2 linked regions of the Nothobranchius furzeri genome follow. The protein of the gene in region 1 purifies or fractionates together with the protein of each later gene. This does not show direct contact. Links are inferred from orthologs where the notes say so. Each region holds a gene or a part of one and is shown on either strand. Other genes may lie near its edges.

Region 1 (7,891 bases):
CATAGCTCCTAGGATCATTAGGGCACTCAAACTCCCCCACCACGATAAGGTGACGGTTCAAGGAAGACTTTCCTGTTTAACATATTAAAGAGGCTTTTTGATATCTTTTACGTTTTTTCTAAAATCGCAGGTAGAAGTTGAGGTACGACTTGAAATTTTCAGAAAAATTCACAAAAGTTATATTGGGGAAAGATAGGAGCGGTGACCCTCCCTTGCTCCATTTCCGGCGTTGTCCCGAGAGAACCGTAGGTCCGATTGAAATGAGACACACGCTGGCTTACAGCTAACGAATATACCTTCGTTTGGAACTATAATTCATGACTGTACTCCGAACATTGTGGTTGTACGGTTCATTTGTTTGAGAAAATTCAAATTTAAAAAAATGCCTCTCACCACTCTAAACTGAAAATGCCGCAACTTTTGAACTTCACATCCACTGTGAACAACTCTTTACTACCCCCAGCAAATATTTCTAAATTCACAGTTCAGCCAATTGTAAAAATATACCCATTAAACTATTCTCATTCAAATGCCAGTGTCATGGTCTCCGTCAGCCCCCTTCCTTTATGTGCCTCCTGGTGTCCTCCATCCCTCTCTAGATTCCCTCTTGTGTCCCTTTGTTCCCCCAGCTCCCCTTGTGCTCTCTTAGCGCCCTCATGTGTCCTTGTCTGCATCCCTGTTATGCGTCTTATGTTGTAGCCCTTTGGCGCCCTCTTGTGTCCTTTTTCTGTGTCAGTTTCTGTGTGTCAGTTTATGTGCCAGTCTAGTGTCTGATGTTATCTTTTACTGTTTCCTCCCAGGTCAGCTCCAGCCTCGTTGTCCCCAGCTCAATGTGTGTATGTACTATGTCCTCCTCCAGCTAGGTTGTGTTAGTCCTTCCCTCTGTCTTTAGGAAATTGTTGTTTAGTTTTGTGTTAAGGTATTTGCCATCCTCTGTTTCTGTTTTCCCCATTGAGTTGATTAGTGTCACCTGCCTTCCCTCCAGCAGCTCACCCCACACACCTGCTTCCTGTTTCCCTGATTGCTCCTCCCAGTGTATTTAAGCCCTGTCTGTCTCTGTGTTCTTGTCGGTCCATTGTTGCTTGTTAGCGTTATAAGTCCTGTCAGTCTGCTCGTTCCTCTGGTGTTTTTTGACTCCCTGGATTCTTGGATTTATTCTTTATTTTGGACACATCCTACAATAAAAGGATTTTCTTTATTTCAATTCCTGCTTCGTGTCATCCTGGGTTTTGCAATTTGGGTCCTACTCTCCTAAACGTGACAGCCAGCTGTTTAACATTTAAAATTTCGAGTTTTTAATCAATGTTCAAAGATTAAAGTTTTCTGGTGTTTAGCATTTTTTTGTCCATTCTTCACCTATATTCTGAGCTTTATTACACTTGTTGGGGATTTTTGCTTCTAAAGCTTTAAATACATATTTTGACAGTTTAGCTTAGTTCCGCTTCACTTCAGCTTTTCAGCAGCTTCAGCAATTAGTTTCTGAATTCAGCATATGATGCTAATTTCAAAGTTCAGCTAAATGTAAAAATTCAACTGATAAACTAGTCCTACTGAAATAACAGGTGTTTAGACATTTTAGCTGTCCAGATTTTTATACAATGTTCACATATTTCAGTTTTTTGCTATTTAGGATGATTTTTCTCCATTCTTCACTAACTTTTTCTCTTCAAATTATTCTGGTGAGTGCTGGTGCTGCTGTAACAAGTGAATTTCCCCACTGTGGGATCAATAAAGTCTATTCTATTCTATTCTATTAAGTTTATTTATATAGCGCCAAATCACGACAAGAGTCGTCTCAAGGCACTTCACATAATAAACATCCCAATTCAGGTCTGTTCATTGAGCCAATCAGAAAAAATGTTTCCTATATAAGGAACTCAGCAAATTGCATCGAGTCACTGACTAGTGTCAGAGTCTTTACAGCAATCCTCATACTAAGCAAGCATAAAGCGACAGTGGAGAGGAAAACTCCCTTTTAACAGGAAGAAACCTCCAGAGAATCCTGGCTCAGTATAAGCAGCCATCCTCCACGACTCACGAGATAGATAGATAGATAGATAGATAGATAGATAGATAGATAGATAGATAGATAGATAGATAGATAGATAGATAGATAGATAGATAGATAGTAGGCCTACTTGTCTTGCATTAAGTTATTTACCTGAAATGTTGAAGGAATAAACCAACCGTACATAACATAAATGAACTAAGTCTAAAGTCAAATCGATAATGTGGCTCTATGCAGGTGGGTAGTTGGCAGAGGTATGGACTTGAGTAACATGACTTGGACTCGAGTCAGACTTGAGTATTTATTTTAATGACTTCTGATTTGACTTGATAAAACCTATAAAGACTTACAACTTGACTCGGACTTGAACACCAGTGAATTGCTACTTGAATCGACTTGCATCTGTTGACTTGATGATGACTTGAGCATATTTGATATTCAGCACAAAAGTGGCACGACACGGACGAAAATCATAAATGATTCTTTGTTCTGGGTTTGATCTTGTTCTGCCAACTGCAGCAGCACTTTGTTTATAATCAGTTTCAGTTGCACTTTCTGCTTATTTGAGCAAATAAATTCAGTTTTAAGAAGTTTTATTTCTGGAATTTATTTATTATCATTGTCATTAAATTGAAGTTGGACAGATGACTTGATTATGACTTGAAAATTCAAAGTTTAGGACTTGGACTTCCACATCATTGACTTTGGGCTCGACTTGAACTTGGTTGTCTTTGACTTGGACTTGACTGGAAAGACTTGTGACTTACTTGTGACTTGAAAAGCAGTGACTTGGTCACACCTAGTCTGGTAGTTGGACATGTGGTAGAAATGGCTCTTTGGGTTGTAATCACACATGTCGTGTGACGCTCTTGACGCTTGATGTCGCCAGAGGATCTTAGAATCTTCTGCGCATGCTCCACAGCTGTTGTTTACTAACAAGATAAGCTAGCGGAAGTGAGCTTTCCAAGCCTCTTGAGGCACATTTTTGTGTTCACAATGTCTGTGAAGCACGCCATTAGCCGGGGGCTGGAGTTGGGACGCTCCTTCCTTCAGCTGGGTCTTCTTAAATCCCGTGGCCGAGTCGCAGCGAAGCTCCTAGCTGAGCGTTTCCGTGCAGGCCCGTCGGTCCGCACCGTTCAGCCTCAGGCTTTCCTGCCGTCCCGGTACCGGTATTACCGCACCTCCCTGAAGGGGCTGGCAGCCCAGCTTCAGTACGCCGGCTTCAGGAGGAGGTTAACCGGCGGCTCGCCTCGTAACAGGGCCCTGTTTTTGGCTTTCGGTCTCGGCGTGGGTCTCGTCGAGCAACAGCTTGAAGATGACAGACGGAGTGCGACAGCCTGTCAGGAGATCCAGGTGAGGTTCTCTCGAAACGCAAACTTGCAGTCATGGCCAAATATTAATGATTCAAACAGAAGTTGAAACGAGAAGAGTTTGAGAATTTCTCTGGAAACCACAGTGAACCAGCATGATGGTGGCCTCCTGAGCAGCAACAGTGGGCTGCTAGAACATGAGCAGGATGTCGAGGAAAGCTGTGAGCTCATTTGTGGAGGAGTGGAAGAGCCATGACTGCGGGGTTGGTGTGGTCCTGTTCTCAGCATTGAATGCAAAGAACCATCACATCTTCAAATGCATTGTTGTTTATGTGTCAGATAAATACACTCGGCTTGTAGTGGGGGACCCAGACAGAGCCTTGGGGAACACCCAAAGAGCAGATCAGATGGAAACGCTGAGTTTGAAGAGTAGGTTCTGAACCAATTCTTTCTCCCAAACTGCAGGCAGTGTTCAGAAAGAAAACGTTCCAGAGCCCTCTCATACCGTTCAGCTCTGGATACAAGCTGGAAGACTACATCATTGGAAACCAGATTGGTAAAGGTTCAAATGCAGCTGTGTACGAAGCGGCACCTCAGTTTTTTAACTCAAAGGAAAGCAATGGAGAGCACTCGCTGGAACAGGTCAGAGAAGACAAAGAGGATGTCCAGATGGTGAGATCTCCAACGTGCTGCTCTCTGATGAACTTCCCCCTGGCTATCAAGATGTTGTGGAACTTTGGGGTGAGTCATTCAGGTCCAAAGAAAAAGGAAACTTAAAAAAAAACATAAAAACGACTTCTTTTAAATGTCATTTGTTTGCAGGCAGGGTCTTCGAGTGAGGCGATATTAAAATCTATGTCACAGGAGCTGGTTCCTTCTGGTCCTCTTGCATTTAAGCCAGAAGAGGAAGAGATCACCCTGGATGGGTAGATGTTTACACATTCTGCAGTGTAGTGCAGATCTGAGGACGATAGTCATGCTTATGTTTGATCTCTCTACATGCAGATATTTTGGAGTCGTCCCTAAAAGGGTCTCTGCTCACCCTAATGTGATCAGAGTTCACCGGGCGTTCACTGCAGATGTGCCGTTGCTTCCAGGAGCTCAGGAAGAGTATCCAGATGTGCTTCCAGCCAGACTCAACCCCGCAGGCCTGGGCAACAACCGCACTCTTTTTGTGGTCATGAAGAAGTGAGACCCGATTCCTAAATGTGAAATAGTTTGTGAACAGACTTTTGGGGAAAGAAGAAGGCCAGCAGATGCATTCAAGTGGATCATTCTGGTCATTTTTCACTTTTTGCTGTGCAGGTCATCCTCAGATACATAAGTGTTGTTTTTTGCTTCCATAGTTATCCCTGCACACTGCGACAGTACCTGCAGGTGACCAAGCCCAGCTGCAGGCAGAGATCCCTGATGGTACTGCAGCTCCTGGAGGGGGTGGATCATCTGTGCCAGCAGGGCGTCGCCCATCGGGATCTCAAGTCAGACAACGTGCTGCTGGAGTTTGACTCGGGTCGGATTTAAAAACACGAAGCTTCCATTAGACGCCATGTTTCTATCTGTTGCACTAAAATGATTTTGTTTGGGTTTTATTCTTCTAGGTGGTTGTCCTCGTTTAGTGATTACTGACTTTGGCTGCTGTTTGGCTCAGAGTGGCTCCAGCCTACAGCTTCCCTTCAGCAGCCTGTGTGTCAGCAGAGGAGGAAACATCTCGCTCATGGCTCCTGAGGTACGCTTCACCTCTTCTTTATCAGGATCAGAGCCAGCTTTAGCTGTTTAGTTCCTAAGGTCAGATCAGCAAACAGAAAAATGTCTCCAACTTTACTGGTTTGATTATATTGAGCTGAGAATTACTCACAAAACTTACTGGCTCAAGGGCTTGGGATCTGTTGGAAAAGTTCTTGATTAACGTGGAAACACGTGAAATTAGTATGAGTAGAAAACAGCACAGGCTAGTTAGGAATTAAGATTTTAATTGAAACGATGCTTATTTTCTTTAAACTTTAGTTTTCATTAAAGGGACTTTACGGCGTTTTGAATTTTTATGCTCGCGATTGCCCCCTCAGGCCAAAAGCATAACGGCAGCTTCAATAGTAGGCTCGTGCACGCATGCTGTACGTGCACACTCCTTAATGAAAATAACAGCTGAGACAGTCCCGTGTGTGTGTGTGTGTGTGTGTGTGTGTAGCCGGGAGGACAGGAGAACGCACAGCTAATTAATTAAATAATTTGGTTCTGTACCTTTCTCTTCAGCACAGCCGACAAAGGTTTATGATGGGTCAGTCCTCCTGCATGCTCAGATCATTCCCTTCCCTTGCTTGAAAAATTGTTCCAAAATGAAAGTTGAACCCACATCTTTTTTATCTGTGAATTCAATGCCGTTCGCCAAGTCTCAAATAAAAATTTGGGCATCTTACTGTAAAAAAATATACCATTAATGTAAAAAATAAACTATGATCACACCCAGAATCGAACCCAGGTCTTCGGCACGAGAGTCCGACGTCTTACTAGGTGAGCTAAAATGCCAATGACATCCTTTGTATCTGTAACTTTTATATCCTTGATGACAGCTGAAACAACGTTCAAAGAACGGTTCGGAGCGAAAATGGCTATTTTGTTGCTAATTTGCAGGAAATATCTAGAAGGAAGTAGCTAAGGGTGCTCAGAAATGTAGCTAGCTTTGTCACTAGGCGTTAGGAACAGCGACAAAGTGGCACTGCCTCTCTCTCTGCTGCTAAAGCTACGGATAGCAAATGCTACGGGCGATGCCTGAGCGTGAACACGCATGAAGCAGCCTGCTCGACCCGAGCATCTCTCTTTTTCTGTGATTTTACAGAAAAACAGGCAATCACAGTAAAAATGCCAGGGCTCATTCTACAGGACCAGGGCATTGCAGGAGAAAGTATGAAGAAGACATTTATTATTTCTATACATGTTATGGCTGTCACACTTCCATAATGCCCCTTTAAAAACATAAAACACCTTCAGCGACACTTCCAGCCTGGCCGACTCCAGGTGTACCTGCAGGCGTCTAACGAACAAATCAGACCCGCCGAACCGTGTGGACCACCTTGAACACAACACCAAACACTCCGGCTGTTCCTGGATTTCTCTGAGGCGGTGTGTCTTTACCTGCTGTGATGGGTTATTTGTCTCATCAGGTGGTCACCGCAGTCCCAGGAAGCGGTGTGGTGATTGACTACAGCAAGGCGGACGCCTGGGCCGTTGGGGCGATCTCCTATGAGATACTTGGAGAGCAGAACCCGTTCTATCAGGCTGGGGGACTGCGTAGCACCGACTACCAGGAGAAACAGCTTCCTCTGTTTCCTTCCAGAAGTCCAGCTGATGTGCAGTTGGTGATACAATTACTTCTCAGGAGAAACCCAGAGCGGGTAAAGCAGGATAGGTCCAGTTATAAACTGATCTCTTACACTTGGAAGCGTTTGTTTTTAATTGATGATTAGCTCTGTTTGCCTCTGTTCTTCCTCCTCAGCGGCCCAGTGCACGTGTAGCGGCTAACATGCTACATCTCAGCCTCTGGGGTCGGAAGGTTTTGGCCAGTCAGGACAGTGCTGGCACGAAGAAACTCGTTGACTGGTTGCTGTGCCAGTCTGCGGTGGTTCTCCTGAAGGGCTGTGCTGGACCCAGTGGGAATGGGGTGGAGGCGGAGCTTCAGAGAAGCTTTCTGTCCAATCTGGACCTGGTGGAGCTGCGCACCGCAATGGGCTTCCTCCTCTATGGTTGGGAGCAGCGCCGCGGCTGCTCTCTGTCAGCGTAGATCCGGTCCAAACCGTAACTCGGACCCTCAAAAAGAAACGCTGGTAGTTAAACTATGGGTGGATACCTGCTGTGTTTTTGTTGTGCTTGATTTAACATTTAGCTGCTGTATGAATGAGCAGTAGCTTAACGCTCATGCGAAAGGCCGGATTTCAGCGTCAGCTAGCTCGAAAACCTTTTATAGCACACAGAAATTTTACACGTTTACTGAAAATGACAGCTCCAGGTCTTCCTGGATTTTTTTGTATGGGATCAAATTTATTATTGAAAGTCAGAGAACGGGGTTCTGGATTTGTTCAGCCTGGTTTCACGTGAGTGAGTGAGTGAGGGAGTGAGTGAGTGAGTGAGTGAGTGAGTGAGTGAGTGAGTGAGGGAGGGAGGGAGGGAGCGAGCGAGCGAGCGGACTGCTCCCTCTCCATCATAGTTTGTATCCTCACAATGACTGTTTTCCAGCCAGATGGAGCAACATCTCACGCTAACTGGAACACAACATCATGCAGAAGGTGTGGGTGTATGCGTGAGTGATGACCCATGTGAGAAAGTCTGTGAAGGTCTAACAGAAGACGTCACCAAGGAGGAACTTTATACAAAGGACAGCTGGGAGGGAATGATTTTAGAGATCCAGAGTTCTACTGGGTCTAAATGTGCGAGAGCCGTCTGCAGGGACACCCAAGTCCAACTGGCCACTTGTTCAAGGGAAATCTGGTCAGAGGAAGTCTGGAACAAACCTTTAGAGGCTAAATTTAATCCCACACAAAGATGAGTAACATCTGTATTCAAAAGTACAAAAAACATAAAT
Region 2 (7,963 bases), on another chromosome or scaffold:
GTTTTGTTTTTCCTTTTTTTATTCGGCCATTTCACACAATTCAGAGAAACCTGAAAGAATGATAGGCCTGTGTTTATGATATTATGAATGAAATATGGAAGAAAGTTAAGATGTGATTGACTTTAGCCATGTTAATACAGTTGATTCAGCCCCTGCACGCTCATTTCATTTGGGAAAGACGCAGAGGTGAATTCCCCCGCCGCACCCCTCCCCTTCCTGTTCTTCATAGACACACGGTGCACGTGAACGTTCTCAGTCAGCATGAGCGCCTGCAGCTGCAGGGGGCGCCAACTTGCTGTTTCCAATCCAGACACTGTCATATAACCGATAATAGAAAACCTCGGTGCGGCGCAGATTTCCTTTTTTTTTTTTTTTTACTCAGCGCTTGTGCGCCCCTTTTGTGTCATGAAAAAATGCCGCCCCGGGCAACTGCCCTGTCTGCCCGTGCCTAAAACCGCTACTGCTTCACCCTTTTGTGCTGCCTTGGGTCTCTCCAAACGTGGAAGGAATTGGTCCATCCATTTTCTGTCAGCATTTGTTTTTTCATGTCCCTAAAACAAGCTGTTTTCAAGAGTCCATATTTATGATGTCACAAATGGGGAATTTAGGACAGAACCGTCTCTTACATGCAAGAGACAGCTGCTGTTGGAGGAGCATGCTCTGCTGCAGGCTCCTCTGATATATCGGAGCTTCTCAGCTAATAGCAACCTGAGCAGGAGATGGGTGGGCGTGGCCAAGTGCAGCTTGTTGTTTTTAACCGGATGGTCCAATCTTTGGTTTCAGAATGAGCCATGTTATTGGCCAAGGGATTTAGACAAATACGAGAGAACCACCTCATTATTTATTTTTTCGTTTTTTTAATCGCCAAAATAAATTCATAACTATACATGTTAGAATGTTTTAGGCTATTTTGTTTTCCAAATTTTCTCTAGCAACTTTAACAATGTTCTAACATTGCATTAAAATTGAAAAGAACATTTTGAATTCCCGGTGTAAGAGGGTATAATATGTTGCTTTTAAGCTTATTATACTACCTTTACTTATGACCAATAAGATGTGATATTCTATATAAATATAGGATATCAACCTGATTGATCTTTGAATGTTTAATCAGAAGAATTAGGATTCTTTGCCTTTTCAGTGATCATAAACACACTTCGTATTAATTCAGACAGAGTCAAGAAATGTATTTTCTAAACAAATTAAAAATCATGACCTATAAGCAACTTTATGTGATGGATGAATATAAGTGGATGGAATGTGATGTTTGATGATGGAATGGTGTGTGATGTTTATCAGAACCTTGGATCTAGAAGAAACTCAGGCTTGGTTCTGGGTGTGAAAAGAATTTGTTGTTTGTTATAAGCTGAAGAATTGATTCATCAAAACGGCATCAGACAATTCATGCCGTGCCTATGTACCTATTCCTGGAGACCCTGTTTGGATCTGAGATGTCAAAGAGTCATTGATCCCACTGCACATGGCTCGTAGGAAAACTTCGATGCGACCAAGTCAGTCCTAGGATGCCTCCGGGTCGTGAAAAACAGGGGGACTCGTTTGCGTCTAGAACGGTTGGACTCTTAAGGAGTCGGAACTGTCAGCGTTGTTCTGCAGGAACCGTGTGCTGTGTCAGCTGCAGCGTGCAACAGGTGTGACAGCTTGTCAAGAGATGCGGTGGTTAAAGAGTTTTCCTCTGGTGGCCAGTCCGGAGTTCGGCTCAAAACTAATTGAATTACTCAGCAAGTGATTCTGTTTTAACAATTGCCATATTATGATTACATGGCCAACCAGAATTTGACATGTAAAGGGGTTTTACCAACCAACCTCAGATACACACCTCCCTCAGATACAGTAGCTCTGATTTGTGGATCAGAAAGCAATGTGTCATGAGATTACTTTAGTCATATGTATGAGTGTGTGCTTGTCAAGTCACGTACGTTGATTAAATATATGGGTCATATATTTCATTTCATCCTTATTAATCTAAGCACAGATTAAACAAAACATTTCATTTAACCACATTGTTTATTTCATTATGTGATTAATTAACTCATATGAGCTGAAAGTGTTCACTTTTATTCAGAGGCAGGAGGAATCCTGTAGAAGCGATAAGAGAAAGCTTAAGGCCTTGAAACGGGAACAGTTTTGTTTACAATATGTTATCCATGTGTTCAAAGCTGCAGAGGCCTGAACTTCAGCTGATAAAATAGCAGAATTCAGCAGATTAAAGACACTAGATGTAGACTCATGTCTCCATCTGACTGGATACTGAAGAGGTCAAACTGTGGATGAAAAACTGACCATTTCTGGACGTTACAATGGAAAACAAAAGATTTTTGGATATAGAAAATGCGACTGATTTTTAGCGGTCTCTTGTTTACTGTGGCAATGTGGGTTCTGGTATCAAGGGACTTGGCTTGGGGATGATAGCCAAGGGAGGGGTGAGCACTCCGTGACCATGTTTGTGTTTAAATTCTAGTTTGTTTTAGAGATTTGTTATTGCAGGTTTAAAGTGACAGAGCTCTCAAATGGCTCATTCTGGAAGGTACTGAAAATGTAAAGAATAATAGTAATCACTCCTTGTGAGAGAACATTATAAACCTGTTTTGTATTGACCACAGATCTATTATAACTATAAGTTAAAAAGTAATAATATGTCCCTTTATTGAGTTATTTTCCACTTATAAGGTATTTTTCAAAACTTTATTTAAATGTATTGAAATGTTAACCTCACCCACAAAACGCCTGTTAACTTTAATAGATTTTATTTAGAAGCTTAGACTCACCACTTCATATATCAAGTAATTGAGAAAAAGGGAGATTTTTTTTCCATCCAAAAGAGCTTTGTGACCTTTCTCAGTTTTGTTGTGCACCTTAGAAGGCATCTGGCCTCAGAAAGCCAAGTGTGTGTTCTGATCTAGGATTGGAGTCTGGGGGTGTCAGTCAAGTTCTACTTGGCGCTTTTTGCAGGAGGAGGGGGCTATAAATAAGTTCTGGAGAGGGAAACGCCTTTCTAGGGCACCGCTGATGCTGCAGAGGTGAGGTGGACACTCTCAACAGAACCCAGTAAGATGTCCTACAGACCAGCTCCTCATTCTTCCTACAAAAAGATGTTCGGAGGGGACCGAGCCACGGCCCGGACCAGCTACTCCAGCCGCCAGTTCTCCAGCCCGCTGCGCTCCTCTCGGGTCTCCTACGGGCTCTCCTCCGCTCCGACCACCGTTTACGCAATGAAGACGCAGAGGCTCCGGAGCAGCGCGGCCATGCCACGGCTGGCCTCCGAGAACCTGGACTTCTCCCTGTCCGACGCCATCAACAGCGAGTTCATGACGAACCGCACCAACGAGAAGGCGCAGATGCAGTCGCTCAACGACCGCTTCGCCAACTACATCGAGAAGGTGCGCTTCTTGGAGCAGCAGAACAAGATCCTGCTGGCGGAGCTGGAGCAGCTGCGGGGCAAAGGCACGTCCCGGGTCGGGGATCTCTACGAGGACGAGATGCGGGAGCTGCGGCGTCAGGTGGACCAGCTCACCAACGAGAAGGCCCGGGTGGAGGTCCACCGGGACAATCTGGCGGATGACATAGAGAGGCTGAGAGAGAAGTAGGCGTGGCACATGTGGCCATGATTTCCTTATTGTTATTATTCATTTCTGCAGCTGTTCAGATGAGTAAGAAGTAAAATCAAAGAAGACAAAACTGAAAAGAAGAAGCATGGAAGAAAGCTCCTGCTTATGCTAAATATAAAATAACAGCTTTCTCTGTGTTCTCCCCTCCTGCAGGCTGCAGGATGAAATCTCCCAGAGGGAAGAGGCAGAGGCAAACATGCAAAGTTTTAGACAGGTATGAGATAGAATGATGACTTCAGCTAGCTAAAAAATGTTTCTGTTTTGTTGCAAAATTGCTCAGCTTTAATCAATCAATCAATCAATCAATTAATCAATCAATCAATCAATCAATCAATCAATCAATCAATCAATCAATCAATCAATCAATCAATCAATCAATCAATCTTTATTTATATAGCAACTGCCTTTGCAGGAGGCCAATACGCTGAGCATATAATACACTTAAAACATGAAGTGTAAAAGCAGCATAAAAGCATTAAACCAAGTCACATAAAAGCCAAAGGATACAAATTAGTCTTCAAATGACTCTTAAAATCCTGTAATGATGGTTTAATATCAAATGGAAGCTCATTCCAAAAGAAGGAACCAAGACCAAGAAAGCCCGAACTCCTCTAGATCTGTACCTAGTATTTGGGACTGTCATGTGAGGGAGGAGATGGCAGACAATGTGTGGTGGAGAGTTCAGGAGGCAGGAGAGCAGGCACAGATGAAATAAAAATGGATTTAATAGTAAACGGGAGCGACAGGACAAAACGAGCACATGCACATACAATGATCCGACGAAGACTGGTACAAGGAGGGAGATATAAATACACAGGGAAATCAGGAAGAGCAGAGTAATGAGGGACAGGTGAGAACAATAAGGACTAATCAGGGCAGGAGAAAGACACAGTCAGGAAGGCAGGGGCAGAACATGACAGGGACAGTCAGTAGCGTAGAATTTGTGATGGGGTGTCTTTTTATTAGTTCTGCCAAATATGGTGGAGCATCACCATAAAAAGACCAGAAGATATAGCAGAGAACTTTAAACTTTGCCCGAAAATCTACAGGGAGCCAATGTAATGAGGCCAGCACAGGAGTGATGTGTGCCGACTTCCCTGTCAGAAATCTGGCTACAGAGTTGTGAACCAACTGCCCCCAGCTTCTCATAACTTTGACCCAAAATCCCCAAATCGATGACGCAAACCTCCAACTGTGCAGTGGAGTGCATCCCTTTTCTCTTTTAGGTAATCTGTCTAGTTTTGGCTCATGAGCCACAGAGGCAGGAATGCACCGCTCTGATGACACAACAGCAGGTTCCAGACATGATTCCGAACAGTTAAAGAGTGCCCTGGCCTGGCTGGTACAAAAGGCCAAGTTTGCTCTGCTCGATTGGAGTCTGACTGGTCTGATGTGGTTATCAGAGCGAGAAGACGGGCCACCGCGTGATCCGGCTGTCTCGTTCACATAAGAATTTCTCTTGTTATGGTTCTGTTCCCTGTCACTGGTTTTCCAGTTGATAGGTCATGTGAATAGAGTTATATGGCGGTTACTGTACACAAATAGGTCAAAAACATCACTTTGGTGAATAACTTAAACACATAAATACACATTTTGTTGATTTTATGTTTTTTCGGTGCAGATTTGGGCTTAAATCAGGTTGTTGTATGGCAGGAAGGAATTGCATGAGTGGTCTGCCTCCGTGGCAAACAGACAACAATGTTTGGCCAGCAGCCGGCTCCTGCTCAGTCAGGCAGACAGTCACTCTTCCAGCCTTTGGGCATGTTTTGGAACCCCTGCTGAATGGTCCACATTGTTTGTGGCATTAACACATGGGCAAAGCAGCTTCTGTTGCTGATACCTCAATCAACGGCCTGCCAACGCCCCGATGAAGCTGTGCACTGGCACAACAACAGGTTTGTTTCATTATGGGTTCTGTCTTCCAAAACAAAAGCTTCGTGCTTAATTAAGTGGAGGAATGAAATAATGACTAAACATTCCATCACTGTTGGAATTTTTAATTTCATTCAGAGAAACTAGAAGGAAATTTCACAATAAACATAAATTTAGCTTATAAATGGGCTTAAGGACCTTTTTAATTATGTGGTTTGAATGAGACCCTTTACTGAATAAAAAAATTGGAAAATGGAGTCATTGATGTGTTTTTTAGAATAGTTTAATTTTTTAAATGCATTAATTCAACACATTTTTGATTCACTAGAGATATGAATAATAAAATGCTCACATAAGTACGAACGGCATCCTCTAGCATGTGGCTTTGCAGTCACAACACATGACAACATCCACTCTTTAGTGACACACATCATGTGCCTGCAGTTGATTTGTATTGAATGCATGTGTGTTATCTGCTACACAATGGGACATCTGTGTGTGGGGAAACACTTTAAATGCTCTTTACAGCACATGCAAGTGCATTTCTTTAAAAGTCCCTGCCAGCAAATGCATCATGAATAATTCTTGTCACCTTTACAAGTCGCCTTATTAAGAGTCAATGTCGTGGCACAGGATGTGGACAACGCTGCCCTCGCCAGACTGGACCTGGAGCGGAAGGTCGAGTCACTCCAGGATGAGATTAACTTTCTCAAGAAGCTGCATGATGAGGTAAGCTCTCCCCGTTTTCAGCTGAATCGCTGTGCTGCAGGAATGTTGCATGTGCACTGCAGTTTGTGAAAGACACCTTTATGGAGAAAGCCAAGCCAAATCATTTCAGTTATTTCTTAATCCACTTAAACGCCAATTTAGCTGGATTTCGAGCTTTTCCCAGAGCACAGAGGGACATTAAAACAGACTGTTCTGTTCGCCTCGCTGGTTCTGTTGCAGGAAATGCTGGAGCTGCAGAACCAAGTCCAGCAGCAGCAGCACGTGCAGGTTGACATGGAGGTGGCTAAGCCTGACCTGACGGCGGCTCTGAGGGACGTCCGCCTGCAGTATGAAAACCTGGCCTCCAAAAACATACAGGAGTCGGAGGAATGGTACAAATCCAAGGTGATATTTCAAGAAATGATAGAGTAGAATATTTAGTGCATGGCCATTTATTATTTTTATTTAGTAAAAATGTCTGCATAACAAAAACATCCTCAGCCTCAAAACTACAGCATCATGCATGGTCGCCTTTCATGACAAGATCTTGCAAAATTTCCCCACTTCACCCCTCTCACTGCACTTCCTCTCCTTCAGTCTCTGACTCATCATTTATGGAAGAGTCGAATTGTCAGCCATGTCTCCTTTCCCCTCCGTTTGCAACTATGATTTCTAGTTTGCTGACCTGAACGAAGCTGCAGCCCGGAATAATGAAGCTTTGAAACTAGCCAAGCAGGAGGCCAATGACTACAGGCGCCAAGTTCAAGTCCTCACTTGTGAAGTGGATGCCCTGAAAGGAACTGTGAGTGTGCAGTTTTCGTGCATCTGGGACTGGGAGCAATCAAACTGACAACAAATAGTTAAAAGGAGAAGCAGCATATTCATTCACGTTTGGCTGTGGTGACAGAATGAGTCTTTGGAGCGTCAGATGAGAGAGATGGAGGAGAACTTCTCCTTGGAGACCGGCAGGCACCAGGACACCATCAGCGGCCTGGAGATGGACATTCATAACATGAAGGATGAGATGGCCCGGCACCTTCGAGAGTACCAGGACCTTCTAAATGTAAAGATGGCCTTGGACATCGAGATCGCCACCTACAGGAAGCTGCTGGAGGGAGAAGAGAGCCGGTAAATGAGAATTTGCTTTGAGCCTTCATCTGTTTGTTAGTAACCTGTGGAGTGTGTCTTATTTTTGCAGAATCTCCACACCACTGCCAAACTTCTCCTCTCTAAACCTGAGGGGTAAGACAATGACTTGCATGATGATCCTGTAGGAAGAGTTCTGTTATCAGCTTTCATTCTGAACTAATTTTGTTTTCCTCCTTAGATGCATTGACTGAATCCAAATCTCACGTTGAAGCCACAACAACAAAGAAAGTTGTCATCAAGACCATCGAGACCAGGGATGGTCAGGTACTAAAGATGTGATTTAAAGTCTCTAGCTGAGCTCTCACACGCATCTCTTCTCATGCTCTTCTGTCATTTTGCAGGTGATCAATGAGTCAACCCAGAATCATGAGGACTTGGGGTAGCCACGTCTCGATTTTTTTGCCAAACAGTCAACATGAGCAATACGAAGAAACACATCTGACTGGGTCTGCAAGCAAGAAAGCCACCCAGCAACAACAGCTTGGAAAAGTGCCTTTATATGTGATGATGCAGTTTTGCTTCCTTCTTTCCTGAAAGTATTTTGTCACTTTTTGTCTAGACAAAATGGTGAAACCAGCACAGTATAGCAACCCTAGGAGGTCTTCAGA

Evidence for each region. The genes of interacting proteins can lie anywhere in the genome.
Region 2: the proteins of pink1 (region 1) and vimentin purify together in Homo sapiens (affinity purification with mass spectrometry; 3 studies listed by BioGRID and IntAct, with this or other methods). This does not show direct contact. The link is inferred for Nothobranchius furzeri from reciprocal best matches to the Homo sapiens genes PINK1 and VIM.

What each region holds. Positions count from the first base shown.
Region 1 is NC_091755.1:38,777,473-38,785,363, reverse strand, and holds the start of pink1 (serine/threonine-protein kinase PINK1, mitochondrial), read left to right. Parts: upstream 1-2,912; 5' UTR 2,913-3,004; coding exon 3,005-3,361; intron 3,362-3,783; coding exon 3,784-4,059; intron 4,060-4,140; coding exon 4,141-4,244; intron 4,245-4,323; coding exon 4,324-4,506; intron 4,507-4,664; coding exon 4,665-4,828; intron 4,829-4,916; coding exon 4,917-5,044; intron 5,045-6,476; coding exon 6,477-6,707; intron 6,708-6,808; coding exon 6,809-7,093; 3' UTR 7,094-7,891. UniProt on the Homo sapiens protein: Serine/threonine-protein kinase which acts as a sensor of mitochondrial damage and protects against mitochondrial dysfunction during cellular stress.
Region 2 is NC_091751.1:47,675,381-47,683,343, forward strand, and holds the start of vimentin, read left to right. Parts: upstream 1-2,923; 5' UTR 2,924-3,071; coding exon 3,072-3,601; intron 3,602-3,779; coding exon 3,780-3,840; intron 3,841-6,131; coding exon 6,132-6,227; intron 6,228-6,446; coding exon 6,447-6,611; intron 6,612-6,882; coding exon 6,883-7,008; intron 7,009-7,113; coding exon 7,114-7,334; intron 7,335-7,404; coding exon 7,405-7,448; intron 7,449-7,533; coding exon 7,534-7,619; intron 7,620-7,696; coding exon 7,697-7,738; 3' UTR 7,739-7,963. UniProt on the Homo sapiens protein: Vimentins are class-III intermediate filaments found in various non-epithelial cells, especially mesenchymal cells. Vimentin is attached to the nucleus, endoplasmic reticulum, and mitochondria, either laterally or terminally.